3 linked regions of the Arabidopsis thaliana genome follow. The protein of the gene in region 3 interacts with the protein of the main gene of each other region in a pairwise test. Each region holds a gene or a part of one and is shown on either strand. Other genes may lie near its edges.

Region 1 (4,957 bases), on a different chromosome or scaffold from region 3:
ACCAACGCATTCTTCACCTCAATTTTATCCCCTAACCGCTTCTCTTCCACCAACTTATGAACATTCCTCCCCATCTCCAAATCCTTCAAGTGACCACAAACAGGCAACATAGAAACAATCGTAGCATGGTCAAGATCAACACTTTCATTAACCATCCAATCAAACATCATTAACGCATCATTCATATAACCATTCCTATAATACCCACTAATCATCGTGTTCCACGAAATCACATCACGGTTCTTCATCACATCAAACACATCCCTCGCCATTTCAACCTTCCCAAAGTTCATATACATCGCTAACAACGCGTTCTGCACATACTTATCCCTACCAAACCAACTCCTCAAGATCCTCCCATGAACAACCAACCCCAATTTCATCGATTTCAATTCTCCAGCAGCTTTAGCAACAAAAGGGTATGTATAACCATCCGGAACACACTTAACCCCCTCACTAACCATCCTAATAAACACGCTAATCGCATCGTGATACAATCCTTCACGCACGTACATTCTAATAACAATGTTATAAGAAAGCAAAGAGCTTTGAGGCATTTCCTCGAACAGCTTCCGTGCATAAGTGATGTGACCACATAACGCATAAGTTACGGAGAGAGTCGAGAGAATGTGGCCGGAAACTCGACCGCCGGTGATGACGTGGCAGTGTAAAGCTTTGGTTTTTGAAATTGATTGAGTAGCTGCAAAGTGATTCAAGAGAGATTGGTATTGCTTGACGCTACTAAGTGCGTTGTTGGCTCTGCGCAAAACTTCACTCATTTAAAGAAAAAAACGACTGTTGAAAAATCTATTGGGTCGCAATTTTTTAAAAGCAACGACATATCTAACCAAACTGCGTGACGTTTGTATTTTACAGTGAGAAATGCTTGACGTTTTCTTATTTTACAGTAAGAACTGCGTGACGTTTGTATTTGACAGTGAGACTGCGTTGACGTTTTGTATTTCACAGTGAGAACTGCGTGACGTTTTCTTTCTTAACATTAGCTGATGGGTTTAACTTTAGGTTTCAGCTTTCACAGGGGACACTTGTGAGTGTTTGTTCTTGGTTTGTTCCTTTTGCCAATGTCTTCGTGAAGCTTTTTGCTTTCAGAGTCTATTCTTTTGCGCGTTGTCTTGTGTAGCTCTCCTTGAATTTTCTGCTTCTTATGATGCTTCTGTGTCTGGAAATATTCCTGTTTTTGAATACATAACTCACTCTTGTTCATATGGTCTTATGAGATGCAAATTCATACTATTCAGATAAGATCAGTACCAAGATTCAAGAGATGATGATACAAAAGATACATAGTATTGATCTATGAACAACAATCACCTCTCTTTTCCACACATTCTCAAGAGTTTTTTTTCTTTTTCGAAGCAACAAATTCGAGTAGTACTCGTCTGAAGAATGCAACTGGATGATCATCATCTTGCTGTTCTGTTGTCGATAGGTCTATTGTTTATATATCCACTTGAGGGATTCTACCACCAGCTTGGACAATCTGTTGCTCAAGCTGCAACAAAACAATGCAAGACTTATTCACGAAATTCGAAAGCAAAAAACCGACACAATTCACGTAGCTTTTCACTCACATTGAACAGATCTTGAAGCTTTGCTTTTAATGTCTTGTACTCAATATCCACTTGCTGCAAACATCTCACACACCTATAACAGAGATTGTTTCCCAAATTAGTTTCAACAATCAAATGAACATAGCAGAAATTTGAGATTCTCTTAAAGAAGAACCGGAAAACAAAAGCTTACCCTTCATAGTTCTGAGAGTCGCAACACTCCTTGAGGGTAACACAAAGACCTTTGACTCTCTTGGCACCAACACTTCATAGAACAACAAGAAAGGAGCTCTTCACTGAGACTAGATCCGAGATTAGACTAAAGGACCGAGACTATACAGATCAAATGTGACATACCTTGAGCTACTACCTTTGAGTTGATGAACACTAGAACCTACCAGTTTGAAATCTACATTTCCTGTCTGATCTCTGAGTATACATATGAACCAATCATTAAACCATATCTGCTAGCTTTTGATGATTAAACTCGTAAAAGAAAAGTAAACTTACAAAGCTCTAGCCATATTACTGATAAGCTTCTCACAGTCTTCAAAGAAGAGAGTAACAACCTCAGCCACAAAATCAGGACTACATTCATCTTGCAGCTTTTTCAATTCTGTGAATTGATCATCCAAAAACCCCTTTACAAAACCAACACAAAGAATCTCAGAAACCCATTTCACAAAATTCCCAATTCCAAATACAAGCTCCAAGTACCCTAAAAACAGTAGAGAGTAGTCATCCCTAAAAAGAAGACAACTTTGAAAAAGAGACAATAACCCATTTCACAGACCCTAAACCCAATTCCCAAAATCCCCAATTGCCATATACAAGCTTCAATAAGAACCCTAAAAACGTAACCACAAATTCAAAGTTTGCTTCACCAGAAAAGTAATCACTTTGAAAGGAGACGACTTTGAAAATGGAGACAATAACCCATTTCACAATCAGTAAACCTAACTCTTAAATCCCCAGTTTCCAATTTAAAAGCTTCAATAAGAACCCTAAAGACTGTGGAGAGCCATCTCTAAAAAGGAGACTTTAAAACTCAACCACAATTTCTAAGTTCTCTTCACAAGAAAGTTAATCACTTTTATCCTGAATCTCTAAGGAGAGATGCTAAAATTTACCTGGTGATAGAGACTAATGGTGAAATCACAAAATCGTCTCTGTAACTGAGCAATGAGTGTGTCCATGGCTCTCTCTACTCGTCGTGAAGGCAAAAGCAGAGAGAAGAAGAAGATGTAAAGTTTGTTTGAAATTGCAATCCCAATAAAGAGATTCTTACAGATCATCAAATTTGGACAGAAATAAATAAAGAAATAGTCACAAAGCTTTTCCATAAAGGGCAGAGAAAAAGAATTAGAATATGATTAGTTGTCAAAAAGACAACTTTTACAAGTGAGAAACATTGATTTAGGCCATAAAAAATGGAATCTCTAATTCATGATTGATACATTCATTCATTCACTCAAAGTTTTTAGCATTTTCCAATGTTAGGTATGTTTCTGTTATGTCAATCCACCAACACTAAGAATCTCTCACGCTGGAAGATTCTCTATAGACAAGTTCATTTGAAGCATTACCGTGTGGACAAGACTGAAGAACATTGGTTCTATTCTTTTGACATGAGCTTCAGAGAATCATATACTCTCATCAACTTGACCTCATGAAAACAACTTATAGTGGCAGATTTTGCTGTTTATGACAAACTAAAGGGTTTTTTGCACTAATATTAAGTTGTTTGGTAACATACTTATTAATATTATATCGTAGAGGCATTTAGAGTTCTTTCTTACCAAAATACTCTACCTTCTTTTTTTTTGCTATAACAGATTTTGATATTGGACTTGTTTTTTCGGCTGTTTAGATCTTTTTTTGTTTGAGTGAAATGTTTTATTTTTCAATTTGTTGGAAACAACTAATATGATCGCGAGTGTCATTTTGAGAGTTGCGGAGGCAGCGAGCTGGCTATATAGTAAGGTCAAAGGAGGTAAATCTGGCTTTATTCGGTAACACATCTAAGTTTAGACATCGAAAGCAAGAACTTTTGTTTAGAGGCATTCACATTTAAACTAGGAAACTTTGGGTGAGAAGTCCACACGTCTTGGCTATATATGAATTGCTAAGCTGAAGCAATATGAGGTGTTACATACCTCCTGCAAAATTAAGGTCTATATAATATAACTAGAGCCACCCCAAGCAAAATTAAACAATGGTTGTTAGCGCCAACAAATTTGTAAGGTTTATTTAGAAAATATTAGCATATATAAATGGTATAACTTATGGTGAAAGATTCATATATATGCTTAGGATAGTATATAATGATTAAGAAAACAAAGTGTAAAATTATAAGTGTTAAATCTTGGTGACCTGAGTTGAGTTGAGAATTGAGTTGTGAGATTAATACCAAAGAAAAAAGTGACCTGACTTGGATCTTAAAATCTTTCTCTTTTTTTGATGAGACGGATCTTAACATCTCTCTCGTTTATTGGTAAGGATCTTAACTACTCTCTTTAATTTAGTAAATATTAATTTAAAGAGATCTAAATGTCCCAAAATCTTAATAAAATTATAAAAAACTCCAAAAAAGAACATTCGGTCCGTGTGTAGCTATGTTCGGATTAAACGTTTTTAATAGGTAGGTATTGGATCACCCCATGCTTAGCAAATTTTTAAACACTAGATATATATATACAAATTTACTATCACAACACAAAAGATAAAGATCCACCTTTGGGAGGGCAGACCATGCACCACACCATTAATTAGAGATCTTGCATGCATATTGATCTCATAGATGCAACATTTGTGGAGAATGAAAATACCATCCCAAAAATTGAATATCATGGAGGAAAATAATTGCAACTTGTCCGTCAAGGATAAATGCCTCGTGTAGAAATCATCATAACACCACGTACAACTCCATGATATTGCTCTAGAACATATCTATTGTTCGTAAAGAGAGAGAATTAAGAATGTTCAACACTTAACATCTAGAAGAAATATATTCCATTAATTAATTTATAGGAATTTAATTTAGGTAAAGCAAGTCCATATCAAAACGCAAAAGAATTTAGAAAGTCCATCATTTGACAAACTAAAGAACAAACTATTGATGAAAAGTACTTAGCGAAGATAGCGGCAAATAGGGTGGTCTCCAAACAAAGTTGCATTCCTTTGAGAGCCAGGCTCGAACCTTAACATGGCTTCATCACACGCATAGTTCATCTTTCCACTTGTCCCATATCTACAATCCGGAAGAAGCAATCGCGATCGGAACCTTATTTCACCTTTTTCCTTGATATCCTTCATAATATCTTTTATAATCACACCCTCCATGTCTCCTTCAGAAGCAATCGATGAAACCCTAATCAGCTGAGCCC
Region 2 (3,804 bases), on a different chromosome or scaffold from region 3:
AATCGTTGAAAGTTTTGCCACTTATTGAGCTTTGTCTGCGAGAGTTGACTCGGAAGAATATTTGCACATTGTTCATAGAGAATCACATGATATCTCTTCTCTGGTGGATTAGGAACCAAACGCATCTTGTAAAAGTTTCCAGGTTGGAGATTCTGATTTCTGAGTGACACCTAACGATTCCATATTTAAAGCTTTATGTTTTTGTATGTCTCTCATTGCGATTGGTATTTTTTGTTTAAGTAAATATGCATAAATCCATTCGTAGAGGCATTCCTTACAGTACTAGTGACCACATATTAACCTTTTAGGTACGCACACCGAAGTTGGCTACATAACTTGGGTGAGTATTCCAATCTGTAATGTGAATAGTTTACCATATCACATATAGCTCTGATACCATAAAAAACTATATGTGAATAATATTAAAAATCTTATACACAAAATTTTCTTTTAAATGGTTAGTCTAATTGTAATTTAAAAATATCGAAATAATAAGTTGCAATTTTTTTTTTTTTTTTTTGGGTCTTTGAAAAGAAAATATAATGTCAAATACTTTAATTTTTCCAAGTAAATCGAAACATAAGATTGATATTTTTCTTTTATATAAGAAAATTAAATTAGATTTAATATTATTAAATGAGTGTTTCATATTATATTTTTCAGAAAAAGAGTTTTTATTAATTAACCAAATACCAATAATTTACTTAAAAACTTGTATTGAATCCAAATGTTTCCCAAAAAAAAAATATTTAATTGGGATTGACAAAAATAGCACCAACAAAATTTTTTCTTCCAAAAATAACAACTTTTTGAAAAATTTCACAAGTAGCTTTCAAAATTTTAATTAAATATTAAATATAAATAATTAATTTTATTTAAATAAATAAAAATAAAAATTTTCCGCTAAAAATTTTTCGTCAAATTTTCTGCCAAAACAATTCGGTAATAAATTTTCCCGCAAAAAAAATTTTCCGTCAAATTTTTCTTGTAAAAAAACTTGAGGAAGCTAACTACGACATTCGTGAGGATTTCACGGAATTCAGGAAAGATTTTACAAAAAAAATTTTCGTAAAATTCTTCCTGAATTTCGAAAAAGAAAAATTCGGGAATTCAGGAAAAATTCTACAAAATTCAGGAAGGGTTACAAAAGAAAAAAATTATAAATTTCGTGAAACCTTTCCTGAATTGCTTAAAATCTTTCCTATATTTTGTAAAAAAAATTCTGAATTTTTTTTTGTAGGTAAAATGTGGGCGGCGTAATTATTTTTGGTGGAAAAATTTTGACGGAAATTATTTTGTAGAAAAATATTGTTGAAAATTTTTGGTATGAATTTTTGTATTTTTTTAAATGTTAGTTGTAATAATTAAAAATTAAATAATTATTTGAGTGTTATTTATGTTCACAAAACTTTTGAATGGTATTTTTATCAAAAAAAACTTTAAAATTATGTTAATTATGAAAATTCTCTATTTAATTTTTTTCACCCAAATAAATAAATACATAAAAATGTCCAAATATTTGTGTGTTTCTCTTTTAATTATTGTTTCCCATTTAAAGTAAAAAAATCTGGTAGCAGCGTTACAATTCGCGAGAAAGACAAAACACAAGTTTCTTCTTCTTGGGATTGGCTATTTCCAGAAATCCAAGTCAATAATCAAAGTCCAAACAAAAAAATCCTCTCCCAATCTCCGCTTCACTCTTCTCATGGACGCTCTCATTGCTCAGCTTCAGAGACAATTTCGTGATTACACCATTTCTCTCTACCAACAGGTTTCAATTCCACAATTCTTCAAACCCAATTTCATCTCTTTGCTTAGCTAATTTAGCTCATATACACACTAGATTGACTCCTATATGCATAGATTCATGACAAAAGTGAAGAAAGATTGAATCTTTATGTAGATTTTTACAAGTTATGATTTTTAGGGATTTGAGTTGTGTAAAGGTTGGAACTTTAGATTCATGGGTTTGTGTTTTTTTTATGTGAAGGGGTTTTTGGATGATCAATTTACTGAGTTGAAAAAGCTACAAGATGATGGAAGTCCTGATTTTGTGTCTGAAGTGCTTTCACTTTTCTTTGAAGATTGTGTGAAGCTTATCAGTAACATGGCTAGAGCTTTGTAAGTTTTTGATATTCTCTCAGCTAGATCATCATTGCTTGTGTTGTCTTAAAGTGTGATTGTGGCTACTTCTATTTCAGGGACACGACAGGAACTGTAGATTTTAGTCAGGTAGGTGCTAGTGTGCATCAATTGAAGGGTAGTAGCTCAAGGTATGTATCATGTCTCGCTTTATATAAGTAGCAGAAGTTGTGTGTTGTTGATTGATGAAAAGCTTTGTGTTGTTTCTATGTAGTGTTGGTGCCAAGAGGGTCAAAACTTTGTGTGTTAGCTTCAAGGAATGTTGTGAAGCTAAGAACTACGAAGGGTAAGCGAGTTATGGTTTTCTCTTGGGACTCATTGGTTGAGTAATAATAGTCTCATGTTATGTTACAGGTGTGTGAGATGTTTGCAGCAAGTGGATATTGAGTACAAGGCGTTAAAGACAAAGCTTCAAGATATGTTCAATGTGAGTGTGAATAGAATCCATCTCTGTTTTTGGCTCTGCTTTTAATGAATCATTTTGGTTATGAGTAATGAACAAATCATTGACATTGTTGTTGTTGTTGTTGTTTCAGCTTGAGAAACAGATCATTCAAGCTGGTGGTATAGTTCCTCAAGTGGATATTAACTAAAGAGACTAGTCCATAAGAAGAAAAAAGATGATGACTTTCTTTCTTTAGTTTCTCTTCTAAATTATTTTGGATTTGGTGTTTGCTCAAAAACTCAATAAAATATGTGCAAAAAGAAACAAAAACAAGTGATGGTTGTTTATAAATCAGTAGTATGTATTGTTTGATCTCATCCGAGAAAATTGAAACCATTGGACTAATGAATGTGATGATAATATATATTGGTTTGCTTCTGAAAGGTTTGGTTTGAGTAAGATATAGTGATTACTAAGTAAGTCTTGACTAGTGGGTGCTTCTAAAAATTGTGTGTTTAGATCTTTTAGTTTCCCAAATTTGCCCATAATGTTTTCGTAATTATCTGAATTATTTGTCTCGAAGTTGACCTTTACTCAAATTAGTAAAAGTTTGGTAGTGACTTTCCAAATTTTTACAACCTGTCTCCTTATCAGAATATGAATATCGTAAACCCTAAAACCTAAATCTAAACCATTACCCATTCGATATCCGAAATGGACATTCTAAGAAAATATGGTAATTCTTTCAGGATAAATCACAAACCGCTTTCGACGAGATTACGGAGCATGTAGTTAATAAACGGGGAAAATGTCATTTAAATCATCACTTTACCATTTTCGTTGGTTTAAATCATGAACTTTGGATCTGGTGAATTAAATCTTTAATTTTATGTTGACTTTCAAATTAATCACAAATTCTTGTTGACTAAGCAAATTGAGACACAAATTCTTTTTTTCGATGTCGTCAATCGACCTTAAGACGAAATATTACTTTGAATTCGAAAAAGAAGAGAAATTCCAAAGAAGATGAGAGATTCTGAAGAAAAAGAGAGAAAAAATCAAAAATTTTGATTAGAAAGATTTCTAACGATGTGCCTTAATTGGCTTAGTCAACGAATTCGTGATTATATTGAACGTCAACATAAAATTGAGGATTTAAATCACTAGATCGAGATTTTATGCTTCAAAACCAACGGAAATGGTAAAGTGATGATTTAAATGACATTTATCCCGTTAATAAACCAATGAAACCAATAATTGTGGGTTGATATATCTTG
Region 3 (5,402 bases):
GATTACATGGCCCCACTGTGTCCACCGGTGCCACAAGTTGCTTATTTCATGAAGAACCCTAAAGATGCCAAAGGTGTTCTTGTGAGGATTGGCTTGGACCCACGAGATGTTAATGGCTTTTCAAATCATTTCCTTGATTGCTAATATATTAGCTGGTGATAATTAATTAATTAGTAGAATCTTTGTGGTAGTATACAGTATGATAATGGCTCCTCTATATGCATGCGTGTGCGCTAAAGACACTTTATTGTAATTGGGTTATGATGATGTATAATTTAATGACATCTCTCTGCTTTGTATTTGTTGTCGTTATCACTTTTATACTCATTTCGTGATAGGCTTTATTTTCTTCCAGAATTTCTGGATAAATAATTATAAAGTTATGTTTCTTTGTAGACTTTTTTCTTAAGGTCGCCAATGTTGGGTGGTTGACACCTAAGCCAGGTTATTGGGCATATGGGGCCGATTTAGGCTGGTAGTACAAATCATTGTACTACTTTGATTCTAACGTTATTTTGCACTTAGACACGAAGACTTTGACTTCCTCTTCAAAACACCTTTACATTTGTAGCAAAGAGGGTACTTTTTGAATTTTATTTATGGATTTGGATCTTCCTAAGTTGCTCAAACCAGTGGGGGAGCGGTAAACAATAGCTTACACTTTCATTACAGAGAAGAGAGAAGAGACAGAACCAAAAGATAATAATAATTGATTGTGTCTGAATAAAACAGGTTTCTCAAGCTGACAAAGAAAAGGGAAAATGGAGTTTCTCGTATGCATGTTCCGAGTGAGCTAAACCATCCAAATCCCAATCACCTTCCGAGAAATCAGATTGGCTCTGTTCCTGTTACAGTCAAAGTAACAAATCTTCAGAAATCTCCAAAAGAATAAGGTGCAAAAAGTAAATGGTTTTTATTGTATACAATACCTGTGTCATTAAGGAATTGACTATATCATCTAAGGAACCAGCATCAGAAGCCATCAAACCACTCTGAAGCTTCTGTTGTCCCATGAGTAAACCTTCGTTTGGATTGCTACTTCTAAACAGTTGAGCTTCTGTCACTGGACCTGAGTTGTTTGCAGGCTGCTGATTCATCTGTAATGGATAAAAGAAGTCTGTTTGTGCAGCATTTGTGGATCCAAAACCCGTGTTTCTGCAGAGAGATGCCGGATTTGTATCCAGGTTTGGGTTTACTAGCGGACTAGCTGAGTCGCAGAACGCATTCCATTCCAAGGTGTCAGGTTTTGAATGAACATCACTCTGTGGAATGTTGGTTGACAATGCAGCGTTTGACCAATGTTCTAGACGCTTGCTGATCTCGAAATGAGGAGAAAAACCCGGGTTTGAGGGTAAAGATGATGACTGCGGGTTACCCTCGAGAAGTAACAGATTACTGGGAGCTACCATTGGAGAGTTTTGTTGTGAAGTAAAGCTTGGAAAAGCCCTGTTGATGTTGTTGTTGATCTGAAGCTCTTCTAGCGGCAAACCCTGAAGTATGTTTCCTCCATCATTATGGTTACGAGGAAACGATGATGAGACTGGTTGGAACATTCCTGCTCCAAGGGAATTCAGACGACCAAGATTCCTATTTGAAGAGTAATGCCTCATCATTGTGGTTCCACCATGGAACTGACCGGATCCAACAGGTATTCCGCGGTGGTGGTGGTAGAAGCCACCAAGTCCTTTCTGAGAATTCATTTGCATAAAATGTGAGTCAATAGCCGCCCTGTTAGCTTGTTGAATGGCGTCATCAGACACCTTCTTCAGAGCAACGCGGAATTTCTGCAACCAAAAGACATTACAAATGTGTTTAATGGAATCATACATATATCAACACTAACAGATCAAATCTGAAGAATCATAGTCTAACTCTCACCTGAAGGTGGCTTGCAACATTCTCTCTAGTGAGTTTGTCAACATTCATCAGATCTAGAATCTTTTTTGGAACAGCTCCTGCATCATCAATACTTATAAATCAGAACATGATTCACAGCTAAATGAAAACTAGAGGTAGAGAGATCAAGAAACATTACTCTCAACGCCTAAATGATCAACAGCTGCTAGGAATTTATTGTGCAGCTCATGCGTCCAAAGAACACGAGGCTTCTTCTGCGCCGTTGGATCATCATTATCATTCCCTCTTTCTTCCTCTTCCTCCTCTTCATACTGTTCTTTACGTTTTCTGTTTGCTTTATCACAGTTTCCTGAACCATTACTCACATTGCTCTTATTCTTCTTAAGTTTGCTCTTTCTCACAACATGTTGCCATATGTTCTTAAGCTCCTCAATTCGAACCGGTTTAAGCAGATAATCACAGGCACCGTGCTTGACTCCTTTCATCACATACTTTGGATCGCTATGCGCAGATAACACTGCAAGAATTCAATCATCATGTTAAAGATTCAAACAGTCAAATCTGTCTAACGATCAAAACTTTCTCTAGGAACTATGAACTAGAACAAGGAGAGCTGCATACTTATGACAGGTAAGTCCATTTCAAGACCAACAAGCTCAAGCAGCTTGAAACCATCCATGTCTGGCATGTCGACATCGCTAATAACAAGATCAAACTTATTCTTGTTCTCCCTCAACAACTCCAATGCGGTCTGTGCCTGATTCGTTGTTGTAACTGCACATTACAATAATAATAATCACCCACAAAGTTTCAGTTTTGACTCATTCAAAAGTAGTAAAGCAAGAACCAATGGCTCTGTGACACATGGGGAGCAATCAAATATGTAATAATTCCCCAAAGTCTCAATTTTTACAGAACAAGAGACTGTTTCAAATCGAACGAACAAGAACCAATGACCTTTGAAACACAAGTGAAGCAACAAAATCTGAAGCATGGATTTTTAAAAGTAAAAAAATATGCAGAGAGTGAATCTAGCTAATATAGTCTTAATTGATTCTTCAAGCTCGTCTTCAAAAATATAAAAATCTAGAGAGGAATCGATTTATGGTGTTATGACAAGAAACGAATCTGATGTTAAATTTTGTAGCTTAACCAAATCCAAAATCTAGAAAACATCAAGAAATTTGGTATTAAAAAAAAACAAAGAGAGAGAGAGAGAAGGAACCAAACCGTGATATTGGCAGCGCTGAAGCAAAGTCTGGAGAATACGGAGACAAGTCTGGTCATCGTCAACAGCAAGAACTCTCATCCCAACCGGAAACTGGTCCAAGACTTCAATTTCTTGCTCCATAGTCATCGCCGTCAAAGATTATGAATTGAAGTAGAAGAACAAACAAAGTTCGGATTATTATTATTAGTAGAGAAAGAGACAAAAAGTTGTATGGCAGAGTAAAATTTTCTTCTTTGGCAAAAGAGAATCTAAGACTACATATGGTTTCTGAAAACTCTGTAATGATCTTCAAGACTGGCGAATTAACTCATTTATGGAATTCTCTTTTCAAATTTTAATCATTTCTGGTAAATTTTCTTTTTGACATAAGAAAAAAACAAAAAACATTTTCAGAGGAGAATCTCTGAGAAAATTCAGTGGAACCGATCGGTCATTTGAGCGTGATAATCACGCGCCACCTTTTTTAAATTAGTTTGGTTTCTTTTGACTGTGGGAATAATATTTTTTAGTTTAGTGATAATTAATTGAAAAGGAAAGAGGATCATAATATTTTTTTTTTTAAATGGATAAAAATGTGAAAGTGTTTATGTAAATGATTCTGCAGATCATGTAATTAATTTAGAGATATGTTTGTGATATTGTACCAAGTATTCAAGGCAGGAAAGAAGAATTTGAGTTATTACCATAACTTCAAAAAGAATTGAATACTTTCCTTAATCTGTGTCTTAAGGAATGGACAACTAAGTTGAGTATCTCATAAAACGGATTTACCATAAGAATTAGTGCAAATTATGGTATTATGATTTTAAAATATGTAAAAGAAAGAAAAAAAAAGACAGGCTTTAGTGAGAGCATGCATGGTGAAAGTTGGGAAGTGCGAGACACGCGTGACCGTGGTTCATGGCTTTTTCGCTTATCTCGTACAGGTTCTGAAAGATTTAGCAAAATTAAGTATCCCATAGTAACGACCAATAATGGCTAATGCCGATATTATTCAAACCTAAGACAAGACTATTTTTAACGTCAGAGAAAGACTTTTAAAATTGATGAAAAAAAAAAAAAAAAAAGACTTTTAAAATTTACACCATTACTTGGATAATTTTACACTCTTACCATATGAAATTAATTTTAGGAATATGTATAATCAAGAAACACATGTTACAATGGTTCACAATGTTTATAAAACTTTCAAGTCAACAAATTAAACTCATAGCACGATATTTATCACCGACCAAATGTATCGTACGCTCGAATTAAACTTTGAAGTCAACAAAGAAAACTGCTGTCACAAGTCTATTGTTACATGATATTAGTCATTGAATTTAGTTGTTAACTACAAATTATATATTATTTATTTATTTGATTGTCCGTTTAAATTTAGCAAAATACATTTATATAACTATGACAAGACAAAAAAAAGCCATAAAACAAAAGGCAAGAATTTCTTGAAGTTGGGTTCCATCCGCATCTTCAGCCTACAAGCTTGGTGGGTGCAAAATAAGATCCCAATGATTTTATTATAGTTTATGAATTAATTTTGTATGATTTCTTGGATTAACCACACAGCGTGTTCATTTCCGTGCCTCTCCTTTTCTTATAGAAAATAGCGTACTTCGGATCAATAATATGTTTTGGCTAGCTTATTAACATAAAAAAATAAAACATTATTACAATTATGCATCGTTTTTATTAATGTAAAATAGGTTATCAGTTAGTTTTGTTTTCCAAATTAGAATCATAAGGTTTAATAAAAGTATCACCAGCATAAGATTTACTAAAAAAAATGCAAGATCTAGAAAGAGATCCTAAATGACTTTTTGAATCTAGCCTAAGAACCTTCTACAAATCTACGATAATTTATTTAGTATATGAAGAAAATTAGAGAAAAGTTGTATTCTCATTGTCTTGTGACAAAGCCTTGATAAACCTAGAATAAAAGAATACAGAACTAGATTTTACGATTTTAAAAGAACATCAACATATGTTCGATGCAATGCATTGGAAAATAAAGGACAACTTTCTAATACAAATCATTATCATTAGCTCTTCCAATTTTATTTTATTTTGTGTGTGTGTATGTTAAATAGTTGCAGATGACATTAGAGAGATTAAAGAAATCAGTTTTCTAGAAGATCCATGTAAACATCAAATCTGTAAAGATTCTACTTCTTAATAAGTTATTGGAAGTCACTTGTCATTAGCTAATACCTACTGTCATTGGCTTATGGTCTCATATAGGATACACACATGTATATTAGTATATAGTATATATCTATTCACATTTAAATATGAGAAATTAACAGCAACACTTTGG

Evidence for each region.
Region 1: the proteins of RR10 (region 3) and AHP3 interact in a two-hybrid assay, tested with the Arabidopsis thaliana proteins (one study listed by BioGRID).
Region 2: the proteins of RR10 (region 3) and AHP2 interact in binary tests that used the Arabidopsis thaliana proteins (3 or more experiments, as listed by UniProt).

The regions. Positions count from the first base shown.
Region 1 is NC_003076.8:15,746,751-15,751,707, reverse strand, and holds AHP3 (histidine-containing phosphotransmitter 3), read right to left. Parts: upstream 2,978-4,957; 5' UTR 2,915-2,977; coding exon 2,702-2,914; intron 2,213-2,701; coding exon 2,082-2,212; intron 2,001-2,081; coding exon 1,929-2,000; intron 1,837-1,928; coding exon 1,765-1,836; intron 1,666-1,764; coding exon 1,593-1,665; intron 1,514-1,592; coding exon 1,460-1,513; 3' UTR 817-1,459; downstream 1-816. Other genes in the region: AT5G39350 (Tetratricopeptide repeat (TPR)-like superfamily protein), read right to left, coding at 1-779; AT5G39330 (transmembrane protein, putative (DUF1163)), read right to left, coding at 4,701-4,957.
Region 2 is NC_003074.8:11,263,310-11,267,113, reverse strand, and holds AHP2 (histidine-containing phosphotransmitter 2), read left to right. Parts: upstream 1-1,551; 5' UTR 1,552-1,705; coding exon 1,706-1,771; intron 1,772-1,990; coding exon 1,991-2,121; intron 2,122-2,201; coding exon 2,202-2,273; intron 2,274-2,356; coding exon 2,357-2,428; coding exon of another isoform or gene 2,429-2,432; exon of another isoform or gene 2,433-2,483; intron 2,484-2,496; coding exon 2,497-2,569; intron 2,570-2,678; coding exon 2,679-2,735; 3' UTR 2,736-2,988; downstream 2,989-3,804. UniProt on the Arabidopsis thaliana protein: Functions as a two-component phosphorelay mediators between cytokinin sensor histidine kinases and response regulator (B-type ARRs). Plays an important role in propagating cytokinin signal transduction through the multistep His-to-Asp phosphorelay.
Region 3 is NC_003075.7:15,443,553-15,448,954, forward strand, and holds RR10 (response regulator 10), read right to left. Parts: upstream 3,491-5,402; 5' UTR 3,215-3,490; coding exon 3,088-3,214; intron 2,632-3,087; coding exon 2,479-2,631; intron 2,375-2,478; coding exon 2,036-2,374; intron 1,956-2,035; coding exon 1,879-1,955; intron 1,785-1,878; coding exon 930-1,784; intron 846-929; coding exon 738-845; 3' UTR 501-737; downstream 1-500. Other genes in the region: BAT1 (HXXXD-type acyl-transferase family protein), read left to right, coding at 1-144. UniProt on the Arabidopsis thaliana protein: Transcriptional activator that binds specifically to the DNA sequence 5'-[AG]GATT-3'. Functions as a response regulator involved in His-to-Asp phosphorelay signal transduction system.